2 linked regions of the Saccharomyces cerevisiae S288C genome follow. The protein of the gene in region 2 purifies or fractionates together with the protein of the main gene of each other region. This does not show direct contact. Each region holds a gene or a part of one and is shown on either strand. Other genes may lie near its edges.

Region 1 (4,086 bases), on a different chromosome or scaffold from region 2:
TAAATTGCACAAAGAAGAAGAAATTATAAAGCTCAAAACTAGAATAAATGAGTTAGAACTTGTTACAGATTTATATAGGAGACATATCAATGAATTAGACGGGAAATGTCGAGCTCTTGAGGAACGTTTGCAAAGGACAGTAAAACAAGAAGGGAATAAAGGAGGATAGATCTTTTTTTCAAAAAAATCAGCATCATTTTTCAAATATAATATCATCATATGTATGCATATATAAATACATAGTAGCATAATCAGTTGCAAAACAGGGTTCTAATCGAATATTACGTACATTTTGCCGAAGAAATGGAATGCAGCTGCATGACATCCAACCCGGATGACGACCAATGATATGATTTGTTTCTCGGAGTTTTCATTACTTCTTTCATTTTTCTTTAGACCTAGAATTACTTTAAGATACAGAGTATACAAAAGAAAAGAATAAGGTTTTATCAATACAGTATTAACTTATTTATGATTGAAAGAAATTACCTTTGATGCAAATAACTACTGCAAAAAGAGTAATAATAAAATGTATGCAGCACATGTTTTTTAGAGTGTTAATTACATTGGCATACCTCTCCCTCTTCCAGCCCCTTGGGGAGGCATCATGCCAGCATTGGCACTTTCACTACCTTTATTAGTGATCGTCTCGTCAACAGATAAAATCAAGTTAGTAGCCTCTGTGGCACTGTTCAAAGCATTGATTTTTACTAAAGCAGGTTCCCATACGAATTTGGCAAAATTATCGCCAATATTTTCTGTTTCAAAGACAACACCATACCATTTCTCACCTTTGCTGTGAGCCAATCTTAGTTTGTTTAATATTTCTATAGCATCAAACCCAGCATTTTCACAGAGTTGCCTTGGAATAACTTCTAAAGCCTTAGCGAAGGCATTGATTATCATTTGTTGCTTACCAGCTATGGTTTTTGAATAATCTCTCAAGCATTTTGATACTTCCATTTCTGTAGCACCACCACCAGCAACGATCAGTTTATTTTGTAACGCTCTCTTAACTATCATGATTGCATCGTGCAATGATCTCTCAACCTCGGCAATAACTTGCTCAGCACCTCCTCTTAATAATAATGTACATGTTTTAGCTTGTGGGCAACCTTGGAATAAATTGTAGCGTTCTGACCCGATTTGCATTTCCTCAAACAAAGCACAAGTACCCAAATGCTCTGGTTTTATATCTGAAGTAGTAGATTGTATAGAGCCTCCAACAGCTTGGATGACACGATTCATATCATCTGCGCTCACTCTACCAGCGCAGAAAATATTTCTATCAGCAAAAAATTGAGTAGCCAAATCGCCGATAGGTAACTTTGATAGTACAATATTGGCACCTGTTTCTTCCACTTGTCTTAGCTTTTCAAAGATTAATTGCCACTCCGCATCTACAATAGCTTGGTAATCTTCAACATGTTCTACACGTACTTCAGCATTGTCTTTCTCTGCTTTCAACTCCAGTTCTACATTCAAACTTAAAATTTTAGGATTGTTGAACTTTTTGGGTTGCTGTTCAAATCCAGCATACGAAAATGTCTTCTTAAAGGCGACACCGTTGATGAAAAGAGATTCTTCCATAGCACCACCTGGAATTTTTTTAATACCTATTAATTTGTCATCCAAATCGTTTCTATCAAGGGATAGCACGGCGTCAACACACATTTTAACAAAAAAATCTGCATTATTATGAATCAATTTCGACGACATTGCAGTTCTAGCACAGCGTTCAAGTAATTCTCTGCCACTGCTTTTCTCTGAAGTAATATCCACAGCTAATTCGTTAATCTTCTCCACAGCTAAAGAAACGGCCTTTCTGTAGCCCTTCATAATCAAATGAGATGAAATGCCTTCTTCCAAAAAGGGCTTGGCTTCTTTCATTAACTCACCAGCTAAAATGGTTACACTAGTTGTACCATCACCCACCTCGGCATCCTGAGCTCTAGAAATATCCACTAAAGTTTTGGCAGCAGGATGTACTACATCTAATAATTTTAGGATCGTGGCACCATCGTTAGAAATAGTAGTCTTTTGATTCGATGTCACAATTAAAATATCAGAACCTAAGGGACCTAAAGTTGGTTTCAATGCCTCTTGGACTGCAACACAGGCATTGATATTAGAGATGATTTGACCTTTACCTTGAGATGCGTCTGTTCCCTCTTTTAGAACCACAATTGTAGGTGTTTGGCTTCCAAAGTTCATTTTTCCGAGTTGTATGTCTCGTGATTCAGGTACTACTTAATATTTGCGGCTAATTCTCTGTATTTGAAATCATTTCGACAATTTGGCATCTGCTAACGCTTAATAACAATTATTCATTTTTTTTTTTTTCAATAGCAAGGATGAAAAAGTCGCCACTTAAATATTAATCATTATTCACGAAAGTTTTCTTTTTCCGGGTAAGGATAATGCAGGTATGGTGATTGCTTCCAAGACATCTGTAGTAATATGACAGGGCAACATCTACAGCACCGATTTCGCTGATAAACCATCCAAGGTATTGACGATACTTTATTTACATTCCAGAACGAATATTTATTTATATATATCTGAGCGAGCAGCTATTCACATATGCACTCGATATTTATTTTTCTTCAAATGGGTTGACTTGATTGCAATGCAATGCCTATCATACGGCCCAAATATTTACGTCCCCATTTTCACGACCCTCAACCATGTAATTTTCTTTATACTTAACGGTACTAACGCTAGTCTCGTTACCTTGTTCGACGCAAGACCAGCTTTCATCCTTTTCGCTATCGTATATCTGGACACTTGGTTCGTCTGCGACAACGACTGCAGCGTTCTCTTGGAAGAGATCTAACGAAAGAACTGGCGCACTGTACGCATGAAACTTATTCAACAACCCAGTTCTTAAGTCCCAGATTCTAACTGTTCTGTCGTATGAACCTGTGACCAGGCACGCGGAATCAAATTTTAATGACGTTATGGCATCTGTATGCCCTTTCAAAGTACGAATCACCTTTCCGGATCTTAAATCCCATAGCCTTACAACACCATCTTTTGTACCCGTTGCTAGCGCTGCATCAAAACTTTGTAGTGCACCTATACTAGGCCTCTCATTTCTTTGAGTAAGAAGTGTGCTCTTTGATAAATCGACATTAGTGGATGTTGTTAAGACATTTGCAAAGCTCAGATCAATGGTTTGCAAGCACTTCCCGGAACGTAAGTCCCATTGCCTAATTGTTCTATCCTGTGAACCACTCACCAAGAAACTAGGATCTAATGATAATGCAGTAACCTCATCTGTATGCGCCTCAAATGTATGAACACATGGAGAATCAATATGATTTGTAGGAGAGGTAAGATTTTGCGTTTCCTGGTAAAGTTGTTGAGCTAAATTCAAATTCCATAATTTTAAAGCCGCATCTCTACCACCAGTAACAAGAGTTCCGTAGTCACGATTGATTTGCATACAATTAATTGTAGCAAGATGTCCTGCTAGTTCTCCAATTTTGTTTTGTTTGGATAAATCCCAAATTTTTACCGTGTGATCAAGATATCCGGCTGTACATAAGGTACCAAAGGGCGCATCAAAATCTAGGCAAGTGAGGAAATCATCGTGAGTGGACATTATAGAGCCAATTTTTGTTCCTGGCTCGTAAAGCTGCTGGAATGTTGGGAAGCTTTTTCTGTGTCTTTTTTTGGATTTGCTATAAAAGGCACCTAATCTATTCAATGAGTTATCGTCTCGAAGTTGTTGCCTTCTCCTTGGAGGTAGATTAGAAGCCTCTGATGATATGCTCTCTGTGGTGACACCCTCATTTCTTATAGCATCATTTTTAAGGGCCTTTCGCTCACTCATACCATCATCTTCTGCATTTTCGTCGCTATTAGCTTCGATCACCTCCAATCCGTACTCTTCTAAAAAGTCCAACCTATCATCAATCTGTTTGAGGTTGTCTTCCAATAGTAATTGATTTTGCTCTATGTTCGCAATTTTACCCAACAGTTTCTCTTTCTTTTGTCTCAGATTCTCAACTTCAACTTCAATGTCTCTTATTTCGGATAACGTAGAATTTTTCTGAATATTTAAAAACTCTAAACTATTTA
Region 2 (3,677 bases):
GAGAATGGAATCCACAGACGACAAAAGCTGTAGATAGTAGTAATAATGCATCGAATACAGTGCCTTCGCCAATCAAACAAGAGGAAGGCTTGAATTCTACAGTGGCAGAAAGGGAAGAAACTCCAGCGCCTACAATAACAGAAAAAGATATCATCGAGGCTATTGGTGATGGCAAAGTCAATATCAAAGAGTTTGGAAAGTTCATCAGAAGAAAATATCCTGGCGCAGAGAATAAAAAGCTAATGTTTGCCATTGTAAAAAAATTGTGTCGAAAGGTTGGCAATGACCACATGGAATTAAAGAAAGAGTAGGTTAGTTTATAATGTTATGTACTTAATAGGTTATTTAGTTTTCGTTCTTTTCATTCTTTCCTTTTTCTTTCCATTTAATCTTATGTAGTTACATTATACTGTCATTTTAGTTGCAGTAAGTATACTTTTTTATCTAGTCTTTTTTTCTGCCTTTTTTTTGAGAAAAGACTCAGAATTCTACTAAACTCTAATATATTGTTATTTCTGTATTATACAATTCTATGCTATGTGAACTGTCCTTGAAAGTGACCTAGGCCACTTCGACAATTTCATCTTCTTCGTCGTCATCTTCTTCTTCTTCACTCTCCTCCTCTTCTTCCTCTTCCGCATTCTTTGATGGCATCTCTTCCACTGCTCCCGCACCTGGCTCGCCTCTCATTAACATATTAACAATTCTGTAACATAATTCACCAATATCTTCATTCTCAACGTTTTTATGCAGCTCCCTCACTAGTGGATAAACGGACTTGTCTCTTAAGTATTCTCTTCCAGCATGCGTTGTACATAGCAAAAGAATACTTTCTAAATGACAGCATATAATTGCAGGAATCGGGTCTCTTTCCTTGTCCTCTGGTAATAATTGAAGTTCATCTGGTAAATTGAACATATCTTCCTCATCAATTTCAGAATCTTTAGCACTAGCAATAGGTAGCAGGATGTAAGGCAACAAGTTTATTTTTTCATCTTTGAGTAACCTTTCATGAGTTTCAGAATCAAATAGGGAATTTTTAATTGTGGAAGCGACACCTTCTCTTCTTACCTTTGCATCATATTTTTCGGTAAATACTAGCAATTTTGAAATAGGAACAACCCCATCGTATTCCTGCTCTTCAATAAAATACATCCTGCCCAATTTAAACCTCGAGATATCCGCAAAAAAAAAGGCTAAATAATTGAAACTGGCATATTTTGTTAATTTTTTATCATAACCCTTAACAAAGCAATCCATTAAACAATCCATGGCTCTCAAACTTTTGAAAACTTCTTTATTTAAAGCTGCTAACTTCAAACCATCATCGACCTCCTCACCGCTTGAATTCCTTTTGATATTCAGAACAGCAAGAATGCCGTCATCCTTGGCTAAGTTGCTTAATAAGATACACATTATATCGGCATTTGGATTGGTTAAATCGACAATTTTCCAAACCAAAAATTTTAAGAACTTCTTGTCATCGCTCAATATAATATTTCTTACTAACTTGTCTTCAGATAAATTGACCAATATAGTGACACCTTGCTGAATAATAACACGGGTGCCGTGTTCTGGATCCATGATCATTTTTATTATATCCTTAATGGGTCTGTAGCTATCATTTTTGAAAACTTTTGAAGTGGGACCAGCACTAAATCCAACTAGATTATCAATGGCAATCTGTCTTACGGCAGGTTGTGGTGAATGCAGAAATTCCACTAATTCATTCAATTGTGAAGTCATCACTCAATTTTTTGTTGATTTTTTTGAGCTATTTTTAATTTTTAAATTAAATTGATACCGTTTTAAGAAGAATAAACTTGTCGTTATTAGAGTAGGTGCGTCATAAATTGATGGATGAGATGAGAGAGCTCAATATGAAAAAATGAAAAAAAAAAAAATTTGAAAAAGCCCTTCGAGGAAGAATAGGGAAAAATCTACAATAATAATTATCGTCTGGGGTGATAACAGAACACATCGAAAGGTAGCACTACCAGTAACATCCCAATTGGCTCTGCAGCTATTAGATGAAATATACTGCGAATTGCGAATCAAGACATCTATTTTTTATTCTTGTTAGTTTTCGCGGTAACAAGTGGAGCAATTGCTACATACTCGATGTATGAAGAGCTTCAGTAAAATAATATCATAACATTATCGCCATTTTTTTGGTACTTGTTTTTCCATAAGTGACAGATGTCAAGATTAAAAAAGAATATATTTACTCAACCTGAGAACCTGCTAGTTTTATATTACCTTTTATATATTAATGTTACAATTGGCTCTACCTGAAGTTGTGTTGTCATTGCTATGGAATCTGGCAGGACACCAAAAAGTCACCTATGCGGGAGATGAAGGCATATTTATTCACTAAAATCTCCTTGACGGTTTCCCCTTATATTGAAAATGTGATAACTCCTCTTCAATGCTTAGAATTACGTTTCTTAAGTGATTTTCTGCGTGCTGTTCCAGATGGCTTTCTATCAAATTCCTTATTTCAACAATCTTTTCAGTCATCGGCAAAGCTTGATTGGAAGCTTGACCGCTATTTAACAGTAAATCAAATATAACGCCCCATATTTCTTTTTTCCAATACCTTTTGAATGGGTTCTTCAATTTGCATCGTCCATTCTGCAGCTGGATTGTTTCTATGAATTTTCCAAAAAGCATCGAATGTATGACGCCTGCTAATCCATAATAATCCGCTTCATAACTCCATGGCTTGCCCGCACGCATTTCCCAGCAATCTTGCTGATCAGCCTTCCAATTTGATTTGAATTTCGTTCCAGGTGGTAACAGTGTCATATCAAATGATCTACCGAAATCTATTAAATAGATTCCCTTGTTTTCCCAGCCATCCTCTCCATTGCGCATATAATGAGCACCCAGGGGTTCGCCTGGTTTTTCTAATCTGATCATGCAGTTATCTGGTTTCAAATCGCCATGTATTATTCCCACTTCATGTATCTTTTCAAGTACTTTCATTAGCTCGACAGTGATAAACATGCACAAATATTCATCCATTATTCCGTTGCCGTCAATTGCCTTTTCCCGTTGTAAATTAATTAAATCCAAGACCGTACCTTGACTGGCGTAGTTTAAAACAAGGTAGCTCTCATCAAGGAACAAGTGTAAAGCACTAGCGTTGATTATTGACTTTAATATTGTGCTCTTCCTCAACCTAAACTCCACTTGGCTCATTATGTAATATTCCCATACACTTGCAGGTTTTTCTACTTTCAACGCTCGCAGATGTCCTTGACTAGATTCTGCTAGATATACAGTGGCATAACCTCCTTCGCCTAATTCTCCGCGTATACAATATAAATCACCCGTCTTCTTGAAGTCAACAATTGGGTTCTTGTTTTCGTTGCGGGATACCCTATGGATTTTTTTCAATAGAGAACTCATTTTCAATTCTTGGTTGTAGTTATAAAAGGTGTTATATTGGAATAATGGGGGCGAAATTTCGGATAAAAACTTCGCTCTTAAATTATTACTAAGTGGGTTTTCAATAATGACAGGCGGTTGATTTTTTATTTTAGTGAAGGGAGGTATGATCGTTGGGTAATGCTCTTTACTCTTTTCCGAATGTTCTGCAGTTTGTAAAAGCTTTTCTGCTTGTGGTTCAGGTTGTGTGAGAAATGGAGAACTTTGAATGGTTGTGCTTGTTA

Evidence for each region. The genes of interacting proteins can lie anywhere in the genome.
Region 1: the proteins of HGH1 (region 2) and CCT7 purify together in Saccharomyces cerevisiae (affinity purification with mass spectrometry, with the first as the bait; 2 studies listed by BioGRID). This does not show direct contact.

What each region holds. Positions count from the first base shown.
Region 1 is NC_001142.9:206,005-210,090, reverse strand, and holds CCT7 (chaperonin-containing T-complex subunit CCT7), read right to left. Parts: upstream 2,215-4,086; coding exon 562-2,214; downstream 1-561. Other genes in the region: GZF3 (Gzf3p), read left to right, coding at 1-169; MDV1 (Mdv1p), read right to left, coding at 2,642-4,086. UniProt on the Saccharomyces cerevisiae protein: Molecular chaperone; assists the folding of proteins upon ATP hydrolysis. Known to play a role, in vitro, in the folding of actin and tubulin. In yeast may play a role in mitotic spindle formation.
Region 2 is NC_001139.9:869,671-873,347, forward strand, and holds HGH1 (Hgh1p), read right to left. Parts: upstream 1,747-3,677; coding exon 562-1,746; downstream 1-561. Other genes in the region: transcription factor IIF subunit TFG1, read left to right, coding at 1-311; protein kinase BUB1, read right to left, coding at 2,374-3,677.